Yarrowia lipolytica: one gene and its partners. The protein of the gene in region 4 purifies or fractionates together with the protein of the main gene of each other region. This does not show direct contact. Links are inferred from orthologs where the notes say so. Each region holds a gene or a part of one and is shown on either strand. Other genes may lie near its edges.

What was found.
Region 1: the proteins of YALI1_D16206g (region 4) and YALI1_E08021g purify together in Saccharomyces cerevisiae (affinity purification with mass spectrometry; 4 studies listed by BioGRID, with this or other methods). This does not show direct contact. The link is inferred for Yarrowia lipolytica from reciprocal best matches to the Saccharomyces cerevisiae genes BUD20 and AFG2.
Region 2: the proteins of YALI1_D16206g (region 4) and YALI1_E33024g purify together in Saccharomyces cerevisiae (affinity purification with mass spectrometry; 4 studies listed by BioGRID, with this or other methods). This does not show direct contact. The link is inferred for Yarrowia lipolytica from reciprocal best matches to the Saccharomyces cerevisiae genes BUD20 and TIF6.
Region 3: the proteins of YALI1_D16206g (region 4) and YALI1_A18286g purify together in Saccharomyces cerevisiae (affinity purification with western blotting; 4 studies listed by BioGRID, with this or other methods). This does not show direct contact. The link is inferred for Yarrowia lipolytica from reciprocal best matches to the Saccharomyces cerevisiae genes BUD20 and MEX67.

Annotation. Positions count from the first base shown.
Region 1 is NC_090774.1:799,139-804,080, reverse strand, and holds YALI1_E08021g (uncharacterized protein), read left to right. Parts: upstream 1-1,939; coding exon 1,940-4,387; downstream 4,388-4,942. Other genes in the region: YALI1_E08035g (uncharacterized protein), read left to right, coding at 543-1,325; YALI1_E07984g (uncharacterized protein), read right to left, coding at 4,652-4,942. UniProt on the Saccharomyces cerevisiae protein: ATP-dependent chaperone which uses the energy provided by ATP hydrolysis to generate mechanical force to disassemble protein complexes.
Region 2 is NC_090774.1:3,301,125-3,304,135, forward strand, and holds YALI1_E33024g (uncharacterized protein), read right to left. Parts: upstream 1,268-3,011; coding exon 527-1,267; downstream 1-526. Other genes in the region: YALI1_E33056g (uncharacterized protein), read right to left, coding at 1,855-3,011. UniProt on the Saccharomyces cerevisiae protein: Binds to the 60S ribosomal subunit and prevents its association with the 40S ribosomal subunit to form the 80S initiation complex in the cytoplasm. Is also involved in ribosome biogenesis.
Region 3 is NC_090770.1:1,826,981-1,830,763, forward strand, and holds YALI1_A18286g (uncharacterized protein), read left to right. Parts: upstream 1-1,611; coding exon 1,612-3,282; downstream 3,283-3,783. Other genes in the region: YALI1_A18273g (uncharacterized protein), read right to left, coding at 1-315. UniProt on the Saccharomyces cerevisiae protein: Involved in the export of mRNA from the nucleus to the cytoplasm.
Region 4 is NC_090773.1:1,619,590-1,622,327, reverse strand, and holds YALI1_D16206g (uncharacterized protein), read left to right. Parts: upstream 1-1,678; coding exon 1,679-2,197; downstream 2,198-2,738. UniProt on the Saccharomyces cerevisiae protein: Involved in pre-60S ribosomal particles maturation by promoting the nuclear export of the 60S ribosome. Involved in positioning the proximal bud pole signal.

The DNA of each region.
Region 1 (4,942 bases), on a different chromosome or scaffold from region 4:
GTGGAAAAATTACAAACTCTATTGGTGGAGAAGGGGGTTTAGGGGATTGAAGAAGTGGGTCTTGAAGCGTGGTAGAAGGTTTTAAAGGTGCTATACTCAGTTCTACTCGTTTATTTTATATATTCCTTTTTTTCAAATCTCAAAAATGTTCAATATTGGGCTAGAATGAAAGAATATTTTGAGACCCCCAGACCCTTATTTCGTACTTGAAGTATGCAGGAGTTAGTTGGGTGTTCTGGACTTGATCTCAACAAACGGAATTTTTAAAAGGACTTGGATAGAGGGGAGAATATGTCACATCACACAAACACTACAATAACGGCTTACTTTGAGTATAGAAAATAACTCACTCTATTCAAACTCCCTTAATAGTCACTCAAATCTCTTAGAATACCCTCCCGCTCTTCGTAGACAGCCACTTATAGCCACCCCAATTACACCCCCATCACGTATGGACGTCCTTCACCGTTTACTGTAACCTCCCAACTCAAATTATTTTGTATCACCAAATTCAAGTGGCACCCAGACTTCCATCCACAACAATGCAGTCATTAAAAGGACTTAGGCCGCAGATCTCGCGCGCAAATCCACTCATACACCACAGCTTCTCCCGCTGGACACGATCCAGTCATTATCTAACCTCCGACACTCAGCCCTCATACCGAACTCGACTTTCGCCTCTGTCGCCAATCAAAGAAATCCTCTACTCCGATGTCCACTCGTTGCTGGAACTCAAGATGGTCACAATCGACATCGAATCTGTACGCTACGTTCAGGATTTCATCGGACCCAAATACGAGCTTCCTGAGGCTGTGATCAGAGAGCTTCTGTGCATTTCACATACGCTTACACCTAGCGCTCAAAGAAAGGGCACGCCGTTTCAGACACAAAAGACCCACATTGAAGACACACTGGGATACGGAGCTATCAACTCGCGTGTTCTTTTGGGCCAACATGCATACAAATTTGCTGTTTTCAGCTACCTGACAAAGGTACCCAGTTGGAGTCGAAAGAAGGCCAACCTGATGAACTTTGACATTTGTCGAAGCGGCCTGGCTGACCGACTTACTCGTGACGAGACCCTGGTGCTTGCGTTTGTCAAGAACACGAAACTCATCAAGTCGCTATACGTGCCTCTTCCGGAAGAAAATGCCAACAAGAGACAGGCGTTTAGGAAAATGCATGATACTCACTATGCCACCAAGATGCTGTTTGCGCTAATTGCAAGTATCCATATTGAGCATGGTGGGGTGAAGGCCGAGGAGTTTGTTCATGAAGTGATTTTGGAGGGCTACATGACTTCTGGTTTAATGACTTTGGTTTAAGGCAGTATTGCGTTGAAGATGTCAAAACTCATAGAAACAAACGGCAACGAGCAGGCTGGTAAATCTCCATCTATCCACGGGTTCTTGTTGAGTTGGCCACTAGGACATGTCCCAGACCGAGCCTGAACCGATGGATCTGGGTATGAAACACCTACTTGTAGGGGGACAACAACGATCGGCATGAATGGAACACGACGTGACGGGTAATAGCCACAACAGCAGAAAGGGCTGCACTGTAAATAGACAAATTGTCAATAGTTATTTATATTCAATAAAAACTTGTATACAAAAGGTAGCTCACTGTCGCTATCATTCAAAAGGGCATACCCAAATAAGCTCCATAGCGGTCTATTTATTGACTGGACGTGCAAACAGAGTGTCTTCACAACAACAGTATGTAACTCATCCAGTTTCTTTCAGAAGAGATCGATTGTTTTTATATTAGTAACTAACTAGTGGTTTAAATCACATTACCTTGTTCTCAAACTTTTATCTCTCAAAATATATAAGTAACACGATACAGACGCTCTATCTCGTCCATTTGGAAGCAGATTCGATTTTAGATAGCTTCGATCAATTTTTGAGCTCAAAAATATTCCTATTTGACACCAAAAATGTCTACTATTCAACCTCATCTCTTCCCATATCTATCACTGTCCCACCCCGCCTTCATCAATAAGCTCCCTTTAGCTTGCATAATTTCATGCACAATTTTTAATTTTCTTATCATCATCACCATGGCGCCCAAAAGCTCGTCTACCAGCAAGAAAAAGTCGTCTTCGACCAAGGACGATGGCGAGGTGAAAGAAAAGCCCGTCAAGATCCCCGATCTGTTTATCGTGCGTCCCCAGGGAGAGACCCAAGCCGCCGTGACGCACAACAAGAACATCTACAAGGTTGGATTGCATCCAAAGATTCTCGAGGCTCTGGGTCTCAATAACAACGAGTTTGTGTCTGTGTACCGTGAGGGTGATCGGGGAGTAGGAGGAACCGTTTGCGCCATCCCCGAGGCTGTGGAGGACCCCGATCTTGTCGACATCAACGTGGTTACCGTGAGTGCAGGACTCAAGGACGCAGGAGCTCTCCTGTTTGGAGATCGAGTCAAAGTGGAGAGATATAAGACCAAGATGGACATGGCGAGTTTGGTCAGTGTGCGGATAAACACACCCAATTCCCCTGAACAGGCTGTTATTGATGCTACAACTACCGATCTCAAGAAGCTGGCCATGGTGTCTCCAGGACTCAGTATGGAGGTGAAGATCGAGTCTGGCGAGTACGTGAACGTCACAGTGACAGACGTTGGCGACACAGATCTTGGATCCTTATCACTGGAACAATCTGAGCTCAAGAACCACGTTTCATATTGGTCTCCCTTGTTTCTGCTAGAAGATACACAAGTGGTTGTGTCAACTCGAAACTGCTGGGAGCTACCCAAAACTACTACTTACAAGTCCATCGGCGGCCTGGATCAACACATTGTGGAGCTTAAATCTACCATCGAGCTTCCTCTGCATCATCCCTCTCTGTTTTCGAGGTTTGGCATCTCGCCACCTCGAGGAGTGCTTCTTCATGGACCCCCTGGAACCGGAAAAACTATGCTGCTGCGTGCTGTTGCTCAGGAATCAAATGCACACGTACTCACAATCAACGGGCCATCCATTGTATCCAAATACCTGGGCGAGACCGAGTCGTCCTTACGAGCCATCTTCGAAGAGGCTCGAAAGTACCAGCCAGCTATTGTTTTCATTGACGAGATTGATGCTCTGGTACCTCGACGAGACGGAGACGAGTCTGGACAAGCCGAGTCTCGAGTTGTCGCTACTCTACTCACTCTGATGGACGGTATGTCTCAGTCTGCTTCTGCCAAGATTGTAGTTGTGGGCTCCACTAACCGACCCAACGCCATTGATCCTGCTCTGCGACGAGCTGGCCGGTTTGACAGAGAAGTCGAAATTGGCATTCCCAACGCTGAGGCCCGACTGAGCATTTTGAGCATCCAAATGGCTGATATGCCTCACAATATGTCCGAAGAAGACATCCAGTACATTTCTAGCATTACTCACGGCTATGTCGGAGCCGATCTGAGCGCTCTGTGTCGAGAAGGAGTCATGAACGCCATCAACCGAGGTCTGGAGGAGCATGGCAGTGCTTTGAACGCTGTCAACTCCGGTCTGGAAGTCACCATGCCTGACCTTGAACGAGCTCTGCTGGATGTCAGACCATCTGCCATGCGAGAAATCTTCCTCGAGAAGCCCTCCACCACCTGGAGTGACATTGGAGGCCAGTCTGGAGTCAAGGAGAAGCTCAAGCAGATGGTCGAGTGGCCTCTTACCAAGGCTGATACTATGAAAAACCTCGGAATCACACCCCCTAGAGGTGTTCTTCTGTACGGACCCCCGGGATGTTCCAAGACTCTCATTGCCAAGGCCCTGGCCAACGAGTCTGGTCTCAACTTCCTGTCTGTCAAGGGCCCCGAGCTCTTCAACAAATATGTTGGAGAGAGTGAACGTGCCGTGCGTGAGATTTTCCGAAAGGCTCGTGCTGCTGCCCCTTCCATCATCTTCTTCGATGAAATTGATGCTCTTAGTACTGCTAGAGGACATTCTGAGGCAGGCGCTGGAGGAGAACGAGTGCTCACGTCTCTGCTTACAGAAATGGACGGTATCGAGTCTCTCAACGGAGTCATGGTTCTGGCTGCTACTAACCGACCTGACGTTATTGACTCTGCTCTCATGCGTCCTGGTCGTCTGTCCAGATTGCTGTACGTTGGACCTCCTGACGAGCATGCCCGCCAGCAGATTCTCAAGATCCGAACCAAGAACATGTGCCTGGGCTCCGAGGTGGACCTAGAAGAGATCGCCAAGACAACTGAGGGCATGACCGGTGCCGAAATTGTTGCTCTCTGTGAAGAGGCTGGTCTGTACGCAATGTCTCAGGACGAAGATGCCAAGGAGGTGACCAAGAAGGACTTTGATCATGTTCTCAAGGGAGCTCGAAGAGGAGTGACCGAGGAGATGCTCAAGTATTTTGTTGACTGGGCTGAGGGTAATTCTCCTGCTTAAACATTCGAAAAGGTAAACATAAGGAATTGCACATAGATAAGGATAGAACGAGGTTATAATGACGGTATATAGGGAAGCAATTAATATATGGCATGCTAGACATCAATCGATTACACTTCAGCTTGCATCTTTCACTGTCGGTATGTGTGCTTTTAGTGAATTTCAAATCTATGATTAAATTACATGGCATGGCTATTAACGTATGACTGAAAGTAGTCTCACCAATGTTTCCCCTTCCATCCAAACCCCTTACTGGTTCTGTGATTAACGTCTCACAATGTTGCTCTCGTTTTCAGCACTATTCAACAGAACCAGTGCTCGTCCTCCTGCCACAGCCACCAAATCGCCCTTGGCTCGCACGGCTGCAGCTTCCACGCCAGAAACGAAGTCACAAGCCACCTCAATGGATTTCTCTGTGCCCAGCGAGTAAAATAAAGTCTTCTTGTCGCTCACCACCACGGCAGTGTCGTTACTGACGCAGAACACAGCGCCACTCAGCTGCCGACTGCCATACAGCTCACCCTGCTTGTTGGGCACCGTATGGCCTCCTCCTCC
Region 2 (3,011 bases), on a different chromosome or scaffold from region 4:
TACTTGGATTTCTCATGTACATTTCAACAATCACTGATCTCATGACTTCACGATACAACTCATCTACAGTAGTATTTATCATTAGTGGCTGAAGCTTGGAGCATTTTTCAACGTGGGATTTTCTTAATGTAAGAAAACTACTGTACAGAGGTGACTTCAAGCGCGTGTTTCTAAGGAACGTCTTACGTTATTTCCATAAGCAGTGTGTGACCACTGAAGTACATCGGAGGAAGACAATTACAAAGACATTCGTTATAGTACACTGTCATACCACACCCTACTCTCATTACAAGTACCGGTACAGGTACACAATCCCACCTTGGCAGCTTGTATTATCTATCTAATTAAAACTGCGAATAGTGCCATGCAAAGGAATACTGATCCGTTGGAGACACACCCATATTTTGAAGTCAGGCCATGCCAAATACATAATGCATAATAGTTTAAGCGATGCTCGCTGTTGAGTAGAGCTCGCACTGCAGCCAGCACACCAGTGTGTTGACGAGGAGAAGCAGACTGGCTGTGCTTAACCCATCTGCTGGTACAGCTGGGACCACTTGGTCTGCTCCCACTGCTCGCCCTGCTGGTCGTTGTTGAGCTTGAATATACTGCTCATGACAGTAAGCTCGAAAGAGGTGGTGGCGTAACCAGCAACGGCCATCCAGTCGTTGACAACACAGCCAGCGCCGACAACAGGAGAACCTCGGTTGACGGATCCAGCAATCAGGGGGACCTGGAGAAGCGAAGAAAGCTCATCCTGGTCCTCAATGGAGGTCTGGGGGTGGACAATACCTCCCTGGTTGGACAGGGCACAGTAAGAGCCGACAAGCACATTTCCAGCAACAGTCTGTCGGAAGACCTCAACACCAAGCACATCGGCAATCAGCTCTTCGGTCTCTCGCTCGATATCGGGATGCACAAGAGCGGCGTAGTCGTTGGTACAGATGACGTTTCCAAGAGCAGATAGACGCTCCTCAACTCGCTGGATCTTGACCTCGTCGGGCAGGGAGTTTCGCAGGTGCTGCAGCTCAACATCCGAAGTGGTGGAGGGCACAAGCAGACCTCGTCGGTTGCCGGCTGTGAGACGGCCCACGAGTCGGGTGCCGCCAATGGTGGAGTAGACAATAGGAATGGTATCTTGGAGCTCGGCCTCGAAAGAGCTGTAGAAGTTCTCGGAGCCGCCAACAGCCACCAGACAGTAGGAGTTGGTGAGCTTGGAAAAGACACCAATCTCGTCAGAGTTTTCAAACTGGGCACGGGTAGCCATTATGTTGATTGATTTTTTTGAATAAGGGGTGAAGTGTGGTTATTCAGGCTTGCGGTGGATACTGCCTATCTTTATGTTTTGCATTGCAGCACAATTTTTTCATGACCGTGCAGCTCAGCTGCGTGCTGGAGTATACTGTGACTGATCTCGTCAACGTGTAGTTCTTGTCATGTCATACGTGCAGACAGTATGCAACTGTGATGGGCCGGTGGCGATATATGTGTAGATTGTGTGTGTGTCTTGCGGCAGGCTGTTTGGTACGTATGGTGGCGGATCGTATTCATGTAACAACAAGATAGTCCGACTGTTTGTGGACTCATACTTGAATTGAATATCGACTTACTACGGAATATATTGTAATACCTCCATTGGCTCAGACTGTGATCGGAGATTGACTCAGTTAGTAAGCAGACCAAGGGTGGGGCGAAATGTCCCTTTCAGAATATTCGGTTTTACTCTCATTTCTTCTATCATTACCCACCACAGTTCGTGTTACTGTACACACTACTGTAGAGATACAGCGATCCATTTATACAGTTAATTCATTATTTTATACAATATTTAGCTACCTCCTAGCAAAAAATACCTTAGTCGAGATCCATCTCGTCGTCAAAGTCATCGTAGGAATCTTCAGCCAGCTCCATGTCCGTCTCGCCGTCATGGTTGGGCAGAATCTCCAGACCCTTGTCTCCTCGGATGATTCGGACCTCCTCGCCGTCCTTAATCTGGTGCTTCAGAAGCATGACAGCAAGCTTGTTGAGAACCTCGTTCTGGATGAGTCGGTTGAGAGGTCGAGCACCGAGGTCGGGGCTGTAACCGTTCTCCACCAGGTAGTCCATGGCGTCCTCATCGAGATGAAGTTTGAGGTTTCGGTTGTTGTGCTCGAATCGCTTCGAAATCTCATGGAGACGAATGTTGATGATTCGTCGAATGGACTTCTTAGACAGCCGGTTGAAGACAACCATAGCGGTGATTCGGTTGAGAAACTCGGGTCGGAAGTGGCCCTTGACAGCCTCCATGACCAGGTCTCGAGTGGACTGGTCAATGGTAGTCGAGGTCGATCGGTTGATGAACTCCGCACCCAGGTTGGAAGTCATGATAATGATACAGTTGGATGCGTTGACCACCTTTCCGGCGGAAGATCGCACTCGACCATCATCAAGAACCTGCAGAAGAACAGTGAGCACCTCGGGAGCAGCCTTCTCAACCTCATCGAACAACACAACGGAGTAGGGCTTTCGGATCAGGGCCTCGGTAAGAATACCACCCTCCTCGTATCCAACGTATCCGGGAGCAGCACCAATCAGCTTGGAGCCGGAGTGCTTGTCCATGAGCTCGGAACAGTCGATTCGGATCATGGCCTGCTCGTCAGCAAACAGGAAACCTGCCAGCTTCTTGGCAAGCTCAGTCTTACCGGAACCGGAGAGACCAAGGAAAAGGAAAGAAGCGGGGGCGTTGGGGTTGGCAAGACCCGATCGAGACAGTCTGATCGCGTTGGAAACGGCCTTGACAGCCTCGGGTTGGCCAACAACTTCTCGAGAAAGCACCTTCTCCATGTTGATGAGCTTGGTGTTCTCGGCCTGGGTCAGCTTGGTGACAGGGATACCAGTCAGTCGAGCCGCAGTCTCAGCTACCTGGTCGGCGCCAACAACGTCCTTGATCATGGACTTCTCCTTAGCGGCATTCTCCTCTTCAAGCTCAACAATTCGCTTCTTCAGATCCGGAATGGCAAAGTATCGCAGAT
Region 3 (3,783 bases), on a different chromosome or scaffold from region 4:
GGGGGGACACAGAACCGGATAGACGGCACTGAGAGTCCAGGGGACTAGCACCAGTGAGCCCAACGTGACCGCAAAGTATGGCCACACGTCCGACTCTTCGTCATAAGAGTACGAAGGCATTTTTGAGTCTGTGTTGTGGAAAGAACCAAAGATGTGTGATGTACAGTCTGTAGATGACAACTGTGGTTGGGAGTGTGACGTGTAGTTAAAGTAAGGTTTGGCAAAGTAGATACAGTAGGTGGAGGAGGAGTAGAAATGGCGAACAGACTGGAGTAATTTTATGGGAATAGGCGGTGTTGTTGTTTTTTTGGTCATGTGTATTGTCACGTGACTTGATTTCACGTGACTGTTTGTTTCTGAGGCTCCCTCCTTCCCCCTTATACTGTGGTCAATCGCACACTACTTTTCAAGGGTAAGGGTTGCATTGTAGATCAAGAACAGGGTGGAATAAAAATATAAAATATAAAAAAGTGTGAATTTATATAGTTCAGTTTATTATTCATTGTAGCTCAGATGGACATGGAGCTGGGGACAGAAGGCGAAAACACGAGTTCCTGAGAATCAATTGTGACATGACCGGGTCTGGGAAGTCGTGTGACCAAATGTATAACACATTACGGCCGCACTTGTAGACCAGGTGCCCCACATCTCCACGCCGTTCCGTCCTCCTCGTCCTCCTCTTCTTCATCCTGCTTGCAATGGCGGCGCGCGCGTATGTATGTATGTACTGTACTGTACTGTACTGTACTTGTAGATGGGCAAGTTTTTGCTGTCTGAAGAAAAGACGAGAGCAGGACGAATTTGCGAGTCATGCAGCGGGGATGGAATACGACGAAACAGTCCTAACCTGTGTTTTTGACGTAGGAATCACATCTCATAAGGTGTTTTTCCAGCGTGATTGATTGACTTTTCCGAGGAGGTTTGAATTTGGATTAGTACGAGTATGTGAGTGTGTATAGGGAGAGTGATGGAGACCTGGAGAGCGAACTTTTCCAGGGTTATATGGTATCTTATTGTTTGAAATGGCCAACTTATTCTCCTTATGAGTTTTTTATTGGAACCGGATCAACTTTGACGGAGTTTGTCCAGTCTTGATAGTGGGTGTATAGTACAGTGTGAACCCTACAACTGTATGTAGGTTTGTACTGTATTTACATTTACTATGGTTGACGTATGGCTATATAATGAAGTCTTCGAGTTATACCACCCATTTGGTATTCTCTTCAATTAATTCAGAGCAGGACATTTATCAGCTCGTCGCGTTATCAGCCATATTTCAACTTGCATTCTTTTCTTTTTTCACGCTTTTTTCTCGCTTTTTTCTCGCTTTTTTCTCGCTTTTTTCTCTCTCGACTTTTTTGTTTTTCTTTTTATTTATTTTTATTTATTTTTCTTTTTCTGGTTAACCCTGACAATATTTCAACTACGAGTTTAAATCTAGTGGAGACTGAAACTGAAACTGATCTTTTACTTGGGGAAATGTTTGTTTTTGGGCGTGAAAATTGATACCCTTGATATTCAAGCGTCAAATAGCTGAATTATTATCCCTCTTTTGACTCTAGACACGTCCCACTGCTTCTACAAGGACATTTGGCGCAGGTCTCGATTCTCATGCACAAGCAAAAACTACACTTTTTTAAATTGGCGTGCATTTTCATTTTCGTTTCACCAGTACCACCACAAACAATGAGTTATCGAGGACGCGGACGAGGCCGAGGCGGCTACAACAATAGCGGCGGCCGCGACAACAACAACAACAGCAACAACAGCAATCTGACGGACATTGAGGTCCGAGGGTGGACGAACGCGCCTAAGGACGATCTTGTACGGTTTCTCCAGGACAAGGGCGGGTTCCGGTTGCAGAACCCGTACGTGGATGGCGACGTGATCAAGGCCCGAGTCAAAAACACGGACGCCCGTGCGATTGGACAATGGTCCGGGCGCCGGTTTGCAGGCCAGGCTCTGCAAATCACAGTCAAAGATGGACCCTCGGCTGCTGCGCAGTCCACGATCGAAACGCTCAAACGGTTCCTTGAAAGCAGATACAGCGCCGAGGACAAGCTGCTGAACCTTGCAGGCATGGGCCAGGACCAGTATCTGATTGAGAATGGCCTTTTGGCCACCACTGAGCGAGGATCAAAGATGTTTCTGGCGCTGCTCAAGATTGCAGGCGACACCTACCCCGTGGTGGACTCGGTGGATCTGGGCCACAACAGCATCAGCGACATTGCCGGCATCACGACGCTGTCTCAGACGTATCCGGAGCTTAAGAATCTGTCGCTAGCCAACAACCAGATTGCCCGCATCACCGACCTCGAGTCGTGGAGACACAAGTTCAAGTCGCTGCGAGAATTGGTCCTTGTGGGCAACCCCATCACCAACCAACCCGACTACCAGCAGCAGGTGGCGCAGCTGTTCCCCAGGCTCATTGTTCTGGACAGCCATGTGATTCGAGACGAGTCGCAGATTGGAAAAGTCAAGTACCCCATCCCTCTACGGCAAACGTTTTTTGAAAATGACAACATCCAGCAAATGGTCGGCGGCTTTCTCGCCAACTACTTCCAGCTCTACGACACAGACCGACAGCAGCTGTTGCAGCTGTACGACCCACAATCGACTTTCTCGGTCGCCATCTGCTCAAACACACCCCGAACAATGGTCAAGGGTCTCGGTCAGCCTCCCTGGGGCCAATACATTCCGCTGTCACGAAACATGACCAAGGTGACCACAGCCTCGGCTCGAACCAACCGACTCTATGTGGGTCCTGAACAGATTGGAAGAGCCTTTACTCGCCTGCCTAAGACGAAACACGATCTCGGAGACCCCTCAAAGTTTGCCATTGACGCATGGACTCTCAATGGTGTGCGAGAGCCGCAAGACACAGCCATTTTTGCGTCTGTGCACGGCGAGTACGAGGAAAACATTATTGGCAACAAGAGCGACACCCGGTCGTTCGACAGAACGTTTGTGCTTCTCCCTGGCCCCAACGGAAGTATGATCATCGCCTCCGATACTCTCATGGTCAGATCCTACGCCGGAAAAGACGGATGGACCAGTGCAGCCATGACTGGAGCAACTGGTGGAGCTCCTGGGGACGACTTTGCCGGTCTCAACCCCGATCAGGCTCTCATTGTCAGACAGCTCATGGAAGCCACCCGTCTAAATGCAAGGTACGCGCGAATGTGTGCTGAGCAGGCCGGATTTGTTCCGGAACAGACCATGGCATTGTTCAAACAGGCCCAGGAGGGAGGCTCGTTGCCCCCAGATGCGTTTATGTCTTAACCGGGGCCCAACCGTACAGGAGACAGGAGGCATTCGTGTGTGCATTATGAGACAGCAAACAGAGTACCGTATGTATTACCGCATACACTACGCTCTCACAAGCATGTAGTTAATTTGAAATGAATGAGCATATCCTGCCAAACATGTAAAAGTAATTTATTGATCAATTGAAACAATCTTTGGTGTGAACATGTGTGAGTAGTTGTAGATAGGCAAGTGAAGCGATCCTAGACACATTTTTATGTGGTCACGTGACCTAATTTGGATTCTGGATCAAGGATTATCTCTACAAGTACTGTACTTGTAGTATGTTTCATTTGGCTCCGTTGTACTCGATTAGTTCAACTTTTTGTATAGAAAGTTGTAAATATATATACACCAAAATGATGCTTGTGCTGAGAGCCACACAATTGTGTATCTATATTTCCATTCTGAGCAATTTTCTTTCGTCTACTTGTAGATGATTTGTGACCCTGGTCTTACAGTGTTCAAGGGTCACAA
Region 4 (2,738 bases):
ATAATCACCAACAGCAGTTGTCACAAGCAGAAATTGTGGAAGCGCATGGTCGAGTTGACCGTCAATCAGTTAATTGCCGAGCTTCCATATTATATAATAGTTTTTTTTTTTTTTTTTTTTTTTTTCATCGTCGATCTGAACAAGAGGGATTCGATTCATTGTATCATTATGTAGGTCCTTCTTCCCGCATTGTAGTTGAGAAGGATCTGATGGCGGGTTTGGATGCTCGTCTTGTCTAAACATTTGATCAAAAAGACGATCGTATCAGCCCGAGTAGGAGTGCGATATGACTCCAACATACCCATTGAGACACCATTTATGAATGGTCACGGCAGAGATCGAGGCAGAGATCGAGGCAAGTGACCAGTAGGGCTCCCGTTGCGAATACCCCAGAGCTGCGAAACCAGACAGAAATGGCGTCAATGAGGTCCATCGAACTCATACATGCAATTCATTTACTCAGTATACATAGCGTTATCTGAGCTACTGGAGATTGGCTACTCAACTATCGCTCCATTGATGTTACCAGGGACAGACACACCCTCCAAGGGCCCTGGATCAACTACAGAGATGTTGGCACGACTCTGGTGATTTGTGCTGCCCACTCTGAACAGCTCTTTCTCACAATGGGTTCACAATGGGCCTCCGTGCAATGGAGTATGTGAGATTGTAGTAGCCGCTGGTACTTGTTCCATCCAAGGGGCTTATGGCCAATGTACGAATCTACCGAGGCAAGAGTAAACCAAACTAGTAATCTATCGGTCATTGCCAAACTCGTTTTTTTCTCACCCCTGCCATCTCTAGTGGTGTCAGAGCAATCCGATCTCGTCTGTTGACTCTGACCAGAATGGGACCATGAACAGAACAAGACCGCAGACTTCTCGTAATACTTGTTGGAGTCGCAATAACGGTCATCCAATCAGACAACAATCTCTTGATCCCTTTCGTGACTACGATACTCAGGTGGACCAGAATCTGGCTGAGAAGCTCGTGGGGGGTTTGCGAGGAAATCTCCAATGATCAACATAGTAAAAACAATCAAGACCATCTATACAGAGGTAAAAGATGTAATAGATCAATGAAAAGAGGATGAATAATTCAAACACCACAAACTTGTATAGTTCGTACTTGTATCGTATTCGTACTTGTGGTATTGAGCCTGGTGCCTTGTGTCTGGTGCGTGTAAAAAGGACGTTCCAATGGACGCCATAAAACAGTGTCGAAACGAAGAATGGACAACAAAGTAAAGTCGTTATTGAGAACAAAATGCACTTTTCTGAAACTCCCTATCTTTTATATTCATCTCATTGAACCCGGTTAACCAGGCGTGTACTCGTACTTGTACTTGTAGTGCTCATCCCAGCTCAACCAGTGTCCTTATTGAAAAACTGAAACCGCAGGTGCACACATAATGGCCCAAACCGTCATATACCGTCCCTCAAGTCGTCCAATTATTCAAATTGGCTATTTTCTCGATTTTCTCAATTTTGTCAAAAAAATCCATTTTCCAAAAAATATTTTAACATTTTCCAAAAAAATCTATTTTATTTAAACATTTTCCATTTTATTAAACTCCAAACTCTAAGTAGAAAAAATCTGTAAACGTGCATACGGAAATATCGACACTCTCGCACCACACCGCAAGCGACTCTAGTGACACAAAAAGCAAGAAACAACCATGGGAAGACCATCGCGAATGATGTACAAGACGAAACGTCGAACCCGAGATCTGGACCAGATTCTGCGGGACGACATGAACACGTCGCAGTCGATCAAGGCTCTGCACAACCAGGAGTACGACGAGGAGAAGCCCGGACTGGCGCAGTTCTACTGTATTCCGTGCGCTCGGTATTTCGAAACCGAGTTTGCCAAACAGACACACATCCGGGGCAAGGTGCACAAACGACGGCTCAAGGAGATCCGCGAGGTGCCATACACCCAGGAGGAGGCCAATATGGCTGCTGGAAACAATGTGGCGCGATACCTGGCTCGAAATGATGTTGATAAGAAGCGTCTGGATGAGGAGGAGGTGACCACCATGTTGACAGATCGTGGCAGTCTTGAGGAGGTGGAGCAGGCCAAGGCGGCAAGCAGTTTTGCTCGTGAGCAGGAGGCGTTGCGAATCGCCCGAGAAAAGGAGGCCGAGGAGGAGGACAAAGGGGTGATTCCCGAGACCAAGGATGAGGATATGGCTTAGGAGGCTTAGAAAATCACAGGAATCTGAGCCTGCGAGGATTTGTGATGTTCGTTGGATGCTAGTCATTCGAAACAACTCAGTCATTCAGCCATTTTTCACGGCATTCACTAATCATTCATTCACAAATTACTCAATTCCATCTCTCTGGACCGAGGGATGTAGCATGGGACTTAGAAATCACTCACTGCTGGATCAAATGGATTATGACAATAGCATTATTAACAGAAATGGATAGGCCATGATAGACAATATATTATTGATTACGATGAGCCTCGGACAGAGTGCTATTGGCAGCAGATGGACACCAGATAGTGAGTTTTGTAACGATAGCGAACTCACAGAAAGCCGAATACCTATAGGTGGTTTCTCAGATGGTGGTAATCAGGACCTGAAGAGCCCATTCCAACTTCATTCATCATTCTGAGTGCTCTGTAGCACATCTACCGTGCAAAGTTGTGTATGTTGAGCGTTTTTTTCCATGTGTCTATAACTTTTGCTAGAGACATTCGAGAAAGATGACGAGTTCTGGATATTGTTTCCG